Linked DNA regions of Caenorhabditis elegans. The protein of the gene in region 1 interacts with the protein of each later gene in a pairwise test. Each region holds a gene or a part of one and is shown in the gene's direction. Other genes may lie near its edges. The genes, in order: madf-2 and fbxa-196.

Evidence for each region.
Region 2: the proteins of madf-2 (region 1) and fbxa-196 interact in a two-hybrid assay, tested with the Caenorhabditis elegans proteins (one large-scale study listed by BioGRID).

What each region holds. Positions count from the first base shown.
Region 1 is NC_003279.8:11,275,657-11,281,989, reverse strand, and holds madf-2 (MADF domain-containing protein), read left to right. Parts: upstream 1-1,971; 5' UTR 1,972-1,975; coding exon 1,976-2,086; intron 2,087-2,905; coding exon 2,906-3,192; intron 3,193-4,211; coding exon 4,212-4,491; intron 4,492-4,997; coding exon 4,998-5,113; intron 5,114-5,306; coding exon 5,307-5,385; 3' UTR 5,386-5,544; downstream 5,545-6,333. Other genes in the region: F36D1.9 (MADF domain-containing protein), read left to right, coding at 5,660-5,770, 6,235-6,292.
Region 2 is NC_003283.11:6,446,899-6,450,809, forward strand, and holds fbxa-196 (F-box domain-containing protein), read left to right. Parts: upstream 1-1,757; 5' UTR 1,758-1,809; coding exon 1,810-1,880; intron 1,881-2,001; coding exon 2,002-2,208; intron 2,209-2,253; coding exon 2,254-2,340; intron 2,341-2,385; coding exon 2,386-3,028; intron 3,029-3,072; coding exon 3,073-3,282; 3' UTR 3,283-3,319; downstream 3,320-3,911. Other genes in the region: T05H4.3 (U2A'/phosphoprotein 32 family A C-terminal domain-containing protein), read left to right, coding at 1-11, 92-319, 377-568, 637-658.

The sequences.
Region 1 (6,333 bases):
CAAATTTTTTGAGAAAATTTTGGCGGGAATTCAAATTATGTGAGAAAAAATTTGGCGGGAATTCAAATTTTGTGAGAAAAATTTTGGCGGGAATTCAAATTTTCTGAGAAAAATTTTGGAGGGAATTCTAAATTTCTGAGAAAATGTTGGCGGGAATTCAAATTTTTTGAGAAAATTTTGGCGGGAATTCAAATTTTTTGAGAAAATTTTGGCGGGAATTCAAATTATGTGAGAAAAAATTTGGCGGGAATTCAAATTTTCTGAGAAAAATTTTGGAGGGAATTCTAAATTTCTGAGAAAATGTTGGCGGGAATTCAAATTTTTTGAGAAAATTTTGGCGGGAATTCAAATTTTTTGAGAAAATTTTGGCGGGAATTCAAATTATGTGAGAAAAAATTTGGCGGGAATTCAAATTTTGTGAGAAAAATTTTGGCGGGAATTCAAATTTTCTGGGAAAAATTTTGGAAAATATTCTGTGTCAAATTCCACTGCATTTCTTGGCAATTTTAACTTAACCATAAATTTTTGGCGAGCAATTTTGTCAAATTCCTGATTTTTTCCAAATTTTTGCTTTTTTCATGATATTCCAGTGATCGAAATTAATAAATTCACAAGATTTTTTCATTTTACAGATTTTTTTCCGTATTTCTAGGCTTCTGGTAACGTTACCCAGGCCTATCGCCTTCTTTTGGATTTTTTTGAGCAATTTTGGGTGTTTCCAGTGACAAAAATTAATAATTATAGGTTTTTTTTGTGAATTTTACTTTTTTCTGTAATCGTAGGTTTCTTGTATAGTAACCCTAGCCTACCTTCCAAAAAAAAATTTTTTGGTGAGCAATTTTCAATGTCAAATTCTCATATTGTTTTTTTTCTTTTTGCTTTCTCAGGAAATTCCAATGACCAAAAAAAATTTTTTGGGGTTTGGTACACATTGTCTTACATTTTCCTACATTTTCCAAAAAATTACGTTACCGTAACCCACTCCCGGCCCCCGGCTAGCTTCTTCGGGCCGTCTGACACTTGAGGAATAATCATCAAAGATGAAATACATAATGTACATAAAGTGAAAAACACGGGCGGTTCCCTCCCTCCTTAACCCGAACGGGGTACCCCCCCCCCCCCGCGAGAGAGCACACCGAACACGGAGAGTCCCCCCAGTCAAGTCGCTGTCGCGGCAGACACACACTGAGACAGTGTGCCTGACGGCCGAGACGCAGAGAAACGCGACGCGCGACAGCGACGCGTCGCGGTCGCACATCTCTTTGCCACCACCTGTGTTTGCCACGTTTTTAGGCGTTTTTATCGAAATTTTCGAGAGTTTTTGTTGATTTTAATGAGAAATTCGGGATTTTTACGACTAGGAAATTTGGTTTTTTCAAAGATTCCTTTGGCGAGAAATAGGTTTTTTTTGTGCAAAAATTTTTAGCGGAAAAACCGGATTTTTTTGCAAAAAATTTTTTTAGCGGAACTGCGGTTTTTTCTGGATATTTTGACTAAATTTTGGGTAATTTTTTTCTAGAATAAAACATTAAAATTTGATTTTTTTGAATTATCTGAAAATTAATTGCCTATACAAATTTTGAATTTTAGAAGAAAATTAAATTTTTCCAAAAAAAAAATGTTTTCAAATTTTTTTCCCAAAAATTTTTTCCAAAAATTAATTTTTTAATTATCTATAATTCAAATTTTTACGACCAGAAACTCGGACTTTTTGTGCATTTTATCACAATTTCTACCAGATTTTTATTGAAAACTTTCTATAAAAATCTAAATTTAGTAAGAAAATATCAGTTCTTCTGATTTGAAAGTTTTAGCAAATTATAAAAAATTCGAGGGAAATTAATTTCCAAAAAAAAATCTTTTCAAAAATGTTCGAATTTTTTTAATTATTAATTTTTTTCTTTTTCCTATTTTTTTTATTATCATATTTCCATTACCTATTTCCAACAAAAAAAAACCTAATTTTTTCAGAAAAATGGCACAATGGACGGATCCATCCCGTCAGTGCCTCATCAATGCCATTCGGAACCGGCCAGTCATTTGGGATAAGAATTATTTTGGAGAAAGTAATTATAGAACTTTGAAGGTATGTGGTTGATGTTCAGGAAATTTGGGTCATTTTGGTAGAAAAATCTTTGATAAATGTTGGAAATTGAGGAACTTACAGAGGATTGAACAATTTTAAAGTTTAGTAGAAAACACAAATTTTTTGCAGAGTTAAAATAAAACACTTTAGAAAAAGTTATCCTATGATATTATATATTTTATATAATTTTTAAATTTCTAAAAATTAGTCTTTTTTGACAAAAAAAAATTGCCAAAAATTGTTGAAAATGAGGCTTACGGGGTTTAAAAAAATTTGTTTCCAAAAAAATATATTTCTCTCAAAACTTTTACAAGATTGTGATCTGAAATTTTATTTAATATTGAAACTGCTAAAAATTGGCCTTTTTTTGAAAAAAGAAATGCCAAAAATTGTTGAAAATAGAAAAAGTTACGGGTTTGCAAAATATTTAAAAAATTTAAAAAAACAGTTTCCAAAAAAAAAAATATTTTTTTTTCATAATTTTGGTGATATTCTAATCTCAAACTCTTTCAAATTGTAAAATTTCAAAAATTTCCCTTTTTTGACAAAAAAATTGCCAAACATTGTTTAAAACTTGAAAAGCTAAGGAGTTTGAAAAAAAATTTAGCCAGATTTTTTTGTAGAATTTAAAAAGTTTTCCAAAATTCAATAAAATTATAAGTTATATTTTGGCAAATTTTAAAATATTTAAATTCAAAAAAAATAAAAAATAAAAACTTTTTTGAAAATGTTAAAATTTAAGAAAATTGCAGAATTTTCAAAAAAATAAAGTAAAAAATCTTAAAAAATCAATAAATTATCGATTTTCTCCGTTTCCAGACCTCCTGCCTCCGTGAAGTGACGTCAGAGCTCAATTCAATGTTTCAAATGCCCATAAAATTCACGTGTGAAGACGTCAGATCTCAGTGGAAAAATCTAAAAGACACATTTGTACGGAAGCTCCGATGGGTTCACGAGGGAAAATATATGGAAGACGCGATGAAAGAGCCCACTTGGAAATTTTATAGAATGCTCACTTTTCTAGATGAGAAGGAGGCGAAAAGGCTCGGCGACACGTGTGAGCACACCTATGAGTTGGCCCCGAATTCCACGTCGTGTGGGCAGAGGTTTGTGCTTTTTTGGATTTTACGCAAAAATTTGAATAGAGATTAACAAGAGCTTTCATTTAAGTATAATCATGACTAAGTTTTGACTATTTTGGGTCCCGCCACGAAAACTACAGTATTCCTTTTCGTGGCGTGACCCAAAGTCTCAAAACTTTATGATTTTTCAATTTTTAATTTCTAGAGAATAAAATTTGTAATCAGTTCACCGAGAGCTTTCATTCAAGTATAATCATGGCTAGGTTTAGACTTTTTTGGGTCCCGCCGCGAAAACTACAGTACTCTTTCATTTTCGTGGTAGGACCCAAAGTCTTAAAAATTCATGGAAATTTCAGTTTTACATTTTAAAACAATAAAATTCGTAATCAGTTTATCGGGAGCTTTTTTTTTTACGTAAAATCATGACTAGGTTTGGACTATTTTGGCTCCCGACACGAAAACTACAGTACTCCTTTTCGTGGGGGGACCCAACCGTCAAATTGTAAAAAAAAACGTTAAAACTCAGAAAATTTGAGTCATTGTGACAAAAAAACTCCGAAAAAAAACGAAAATTGAGAAAGTTACAAGGGTTTGAAAAAAAAAGTCAAAAATCCAAAATAATTTTTTTTTTCAAAAAACAAAAAAAAAATTCAATTTTTTTCAGAATTCGGAAGACTTTTTTTTTGGCTAACTTTTAAAATGTTGTAAATTTAAACAATTAGCTTAATTTTGTAATAAAAATTTGCAAAAACGGGCAAAAATTGAACAAGTTACAAGAGTTTGAAAAAATTTGAAAAATTTTTTTTTTCTTTTTTCTCAATTTTTTTTCAAAAATTGAAATAAAAATACCACGGTAGCCTAGTTTTCAGGTACATATGGCCTAGAATTCCAAAACTAGGCCAGCAACTTTATTGAGCTATACCTCGGCGGAGAATCAACATTTTTGAGTGGTTTAAAAACTAAAAAAAACTTTCATAAAAATTCACGGCCGAAGTTTTCCAATTTCTAGGCCACCAATTTTTCTTTAAATCTAAACTTTTCAGAGCACAAATCTCCTATGAGCCCACATCAACTGAGGAGAAAATGTTCCAAATGTTCAATAATCAACCTCCACCGCAATTATCACAACAGTCGATGATTGACTCCTCACAGATTGCTACGTGCTCCAATGAACCAAAAATGACGTCATCATCAACATTCGTGACGTCATCCACGTCTTTAAAACGTGGCGTTCACTATAGTCCGACTAGAAGCCCAAATGGGTCGTCAAGTGGGTTGGAAGAGGAGCTGGAAGATGAGGATGAGCAGCCGGGCAGGAAGAAGGTAATATTTTGGAAGTGAGAAGTCGGGAGTAGTTTTCGATAAAAAATTTGAATTTGGCGTCATTAAATTACTCGGAATTCAAGTTTTTAGTGCAAAATATCGTTTGCACACACTTTTCTAGCTACAGTAACCCAGAAAAAAGAAAACAACTAAATTTTTTAGGTCCCTATTTTTTTTAGAAAAATTTTAAGTCAAAAATTCGAAAACAGCGTTTTTTGTTCACCATACCTGTAATTTTTCAGAGTTTTTGTGCAAAAATCCGTGAAATTCGGTGTTTGCACACTTTCGGAGCTACAGTAACCCACCAAAAATTTAAAAAAACTGCTAGAGCTCTCAAAACTGAGCCCCAGGACTAATTTTTGATGCTGAATTCAAAAATCCTATTGATTTTACTGAGATATTCCTCAAAACTACAAAAAAATTCGATTGCACACTTTTTGATCTACAGTAACCCCGAGTATTTTGCCTAAATTTATAAATTTCTTTCAAAAACTTTGAAATTTTAGTCATGCCGCCGCCAGGTGTCCAATATTCAGCCGATGCAAGTTATTACCACTCCGCCAGTCGCCCATCAAGACGAATTTGATCATTTTGGAGCAATGGTTGCCGCGAATTTGCGGAGGTTTGTTTTTCCAGAATTTCACATGAAAAATCGTTTTTAGCGTAAAATTCTGAGTCGAAAAAGTTTTTAAAATTTTGAAAAACTCGAAAAAAATTCAAGTGGGCAAGTGGCTCAACTGGGTAGAAGCTCAACTTCCACTCACAGCACCAAAGTTCGACCCCCCGCTTTGGCTAATAATTTTTTTCTGTTTCAGAATAGCCAATGAACAAGGTCGGATGAATGCTCTGCGAGTTCAACGCCGGCTTTACGATGCTCTGTTCCTAGACGAATAAATTATCGATTTGTTTGCACAATTTTCCTCCGACAAATGCCAAGATTTCGAGCCATTTTGATGACGAATTTCAAATGAAAAAAAAAATTTGATAATTTTTTGTGATATTACCTATAATTATTGTTAATTGATAACTTGCAAAAAATATTTTTAATTGTTTTTTTTTCTAATTTTTTAAAGTTTTTTTCCAGAATTCTGTTCAAAACGGTGAAATTTCTTGATTTTCTTCAATTTTTCTCTAGTTTAAGCAAATTTTCAGCAAATTTTCAGCCAAAATGCCTACAAAATGGACGGAAAGCGCTGAAGCCACGCTTGTCGAGTTGACATCAAAATCCCGACCTCTATGGACTGTGAGAGCTAAGAAAGATTTCGGTGATAATGAGATGGTAGGCTAGTTTTAGCTGAAATTTGAAATTTTTGGCGAAAATCATTAAAATTTTTGAATTCAGCGCTGTATTTTACCTCTAGGCCGCAATTTTGAGAGCTCTAGCAGGTTTTTGGAGATTTCCGGGTTACTGTAGGCCCGATTTCGTGCAAACACCGCCGGAACCCTGAATTTCACGGGTTTTTGCACTAGAACTCTAAAAAATCACGGATAGGGTAAACAAGATACGCTGATTTCAAATTTTTAGTTCAAATTGCAACAATTACAATTTTTAAATTTTTGGGTTACTGTAGGTCCGATTTTGGCAAACACTATACCGAAACACTGAATTTTACGGATTTTTGCACTAGAATTCTGAAAAATCACAGATAGGGTAAACTAAACACGCTGATTCTGAATTTTTAGCAAAAATTTCAATGAACTAAATATTTTTTGACTTGAGAATTTAAAAAAATTAATTTTCAGATCGAAATGTTTCGTATCCGTGAGGGCCTCAACTCCAAGACCTCTAGTGCATTTACCGGTAAGTCCTGGCCTTTTTTTCTGAGTTTTACTTTAGAATAT
Region 2 (3,911 bases), on another chromosome or scaffold:
TCAAACAATAAGTGAGTTTTTGATAGGTGCCTAACTTTACGATTTTTAGCAAGTTCTATACTCTTTAGCTATTAAAGTTTCAAATTTGTAGACTTGCGTCTTGTGCATCTTTGAAGCCTCTCTGCGAATGCAAGACTCTGGAAAATTTGGACTGTAGGAACAATTCAGTAACGGAGAGAAGGGTTTATGTTGATTTTATCAAAGCACAGGTTCCATCTGTTAGAAAACTAGATGACGAGATTATGAGCAATGAAATTGAAATTACGAAACGAAGATTGTCTCGAGCAAATGATTTGATCTCGATGAGCAGAAGAAGCAGGTACTTACAATTAGGAATATCTGATATTATGACTCTTTTTACACTACACAATTTCAGTATGGTGACCTCGTCGATGCTATCTTGGTTCGAGAGAGAAGAGGGTGAAACTCTGGAAAACGTGAAAAGGGCTTCAAGTTTTCTAGAACCAAGTGCAGCTGAAACCCCCATGAGACCACGACGGCTTGAACCTCTTCCCGGAAGACGTAAAACTAATAGTGAAAGCAATGGATTAATGTTGTTAGGTACAAAGTAAGTGATTTTATATATTAGTTGAGAGATTATGAAATGTTTCTAAATTCGTTTTTGTTCATTTTCAGAGCTGTGCAACATCGCAAGTAAAAGGCCCAATTATGTGGAGAGTCTGTCGAATATATTTTTTTCTAAACTATTATTATCATTTTTCAACTAAATATAAATACTATCTGAATAAGTCTCATGATAGGTATTCAAAAGTTAGTAGTGCCTACCTTACAATAAGAGTAACTACGGTAGTTGTCTGAGTCTATTTTGGTCAGTGTTCTTCAAAATGTAGAATTTTGGAAACATCATTTGAAATTTCGATTTGATCTTACAATCAGTTCAATATAATACCACTTTTGGGGTTTTCACAGGAATTCTGCAGACAGTTTTATTGGGAACTAGTTCAGAGCAGAGGTGGGCGGATATTTTTTCGGATATTTTCTAATAATGAATTTATCAATAAGTATTGATGTAGTTATTCTGGAAAAAATGTATCCGAACAAAAGAGTAACTATTAAGAAACATTTTAATATGATAAAACCTAGAAAAATTCTACAAGTTTTCTGTATAAACGATATGCAAGTCCATTATCCGATATCCGTAATATCCGTAATATCCGATATCCGATGTTGCTCGGCTAATAAGTTTTAAGGTCTCGGTAAGGAAAACTTGTAGAATTTTTCTAGGTTTTATCATATTAAAATGTTGCTTAATAGTTACTCTTTGGTTCGGATACATTTCTTCCAGAATAACTACATCAATACTAATTGATAAATTCATTATTAGAAAATATCCGAAAAAATATCCGCCCACCTCTGGTTCAGAGTAAAAATCCATTGTTAACCATAGGAAATGCACTGGATTCTATACTGAATTTTCAGATGAAAATTTTCAGACTCACCGTGTGTTTAGCAGGAATGATTTACAGATTCTAAAAGCCCAATTTGTCAGAAGATATAACATGTTCAACTTATTTCTTATCATACCACACGGTTACATAATTCCCTAGTAGGCTATAAGGTAATGCAGGTTTCACCCCACTTTATTTATTTCGGCATTATCACTTTTTTTTTCAATAAATATCACTTTTTAATTTCACGTTTTTAAAAAAATAGTGAAATAATTAAAACATTTTAGAAAGCCAAATTTTAAGTGAGCGTGAAACGAAAAAAAAAACCGCCCATGAAATTTCAAATTTATTTATTTCTTGATACTTCGCCAGCTCTACGAAGTTTTTCCAAATCGTCAAAATGTCCGATTCACCAAGAAGCGACGAAGAGGATCTCAGTGAAGGTTCGGACAGCTCAGTATCACTGCATCAGTAAATTTTTCACTATATTATGCTACGTGGATCTCTTTTATTGAATTGTAATTTCAAACAACTGCCAACGTAGCAAAAACTAAACTGTATGCTGTTATGAAAAGTTTTATTCAAATTTTAGAATCGATCCCAAAATTCAATGTATCGTCACGGACCCACGTGCAGTGCGAATCTTGATTCTACATCAACATCTTCAAGGCATTCCAGTTTTCAATGCATATAAAGCAATGAACAAGGTATTTGGAGATCACTTTATGGAATACCGACACTTTGAATATTGGTATATGGGACTTGCAAATGGGAGTTTAACCGTAGACTCTTATGATAGGTTTGTGTTTTTTCAATGAACATAATATCACAGTACCTTTTATAGATTTCATACATCAGAGAGAAAAGAGTTCACCGACTTTTCAACCTACTTCCAAGCAATGATTCTGGATAAACTGAATCCAATTGATCGGTAAGAATTGATTGTATTTTTGTTTTGTAAATACAAAATCTTCAGGTTTGCTGCACGCGCAGTTTGCCGTGGTTTTAAGTCTATGATCGATTATCAACATTCTAACCTGAAAACGATGACTATGTATCTAGAAGAGAAAAGCGTTGGATTGAAGACAAACGGTGGCTACGTGACCTATGAATTGGAGGATGAGGACTGTCAAGTGAACTATAAGAAACGGAAAATGATTGTTAAGGATAAGAAACCATTGGAGGTTGCTATGAAGGATGTATCAAGACTTTTGAAGATCAGAGGATTAGATATGGATTACTTCGCAATTATTATGACGGAAATTATGGAAGAAGAGTTCGTTTCATTTGATGCTATTAACGACGTTCTTAAATCAATTGGAATCCTGTCGGCAAAATCAGTATTGCTCGATTGGTTTCACACTTTTGAAATTACTGTACTTCTGAAATACTTTAAGCCTGGAATCCTGGAGGACTTAACAATTAAATGTCTTGAATCCGATGAAGAGTTCACAGGAAATCTGGTGTACCTGGAACAGTGGAAAAAGGCAAAGAATCTGAAATTGTCTAAAGTCCCAAATTTTCCAATTATCGTCGAACATCTCGATAACTTCAAATCTTTGAACTTCGACTTCCATGGGGAACCTTTCTCAAGAGATGATATCATGAAGCTTCGAGATGTGAGTTTCCTTTCATATATCAATTTTCCCAAATAAACTTTCAGGAGGTTCTTCTAAAATCAACCAAGTTTGAATACTTTTCTTGTAAAAATGTGAAATTCAACACAAAAATGTTCGTGAAAGTTTTTGATGCTCGCTCAACTCTATTTTGTTCGTCTGGCTCAATTGTTTATGAATCGTCCAATGGAATATTCGATATTGCTTATCATCCGAATGGGTTCAACATTAAGAAGAAAATTGACTCGCAAGTTTGAACTCGTGAATATTAGGATAATAAATTATTTATCATTTATCAAACTATTTCAGTGTCGAAATATACCACATTTTCAAAAATAATGGAATTGAATTAAAAATATAATCATACCGTATCCATTCAAAACTTCCTGAGCGTTGCGAGACCTGTCCACAAAAGAACACCTCCCTCCAAATTTGGCTACTGTCTTGCTTCATTTTTCATACTGTTTTTTTGTTTCTTTTTCGTTCTTTTTCAGCCTTGGTCTGTTTTTTCCTTTTCACCTCCTTATTCTCTCTTTTTCATACACAAATAGCAAGAGAATAAGATGATAGAAGAGACGCAGAGTGCGAAAGGACGGAGCCTCGTTGCCCGCCGAACACTGAGGTTTATTGACTTTTCTACTGCTTTTCGAGCTGCTTTCGCGGAAAAAAAGATTGAGCTTTCTTTCGAGAGCTTTCGACTGTGCTTCTCGACTAAAAATATCGAAATACAACTTTTAGTTTGTCTTGCTAGCCTATCTTTTTGAAAATAATTTGTCAGGAAGCTGAATTGGGAAGAAAACGGAATAGTTAAAAATTTTACCTGTGATTTGTGCGATTATACGCATTTTTAACCATGTGTCTCGATAATTTCAATTATAACATTTTC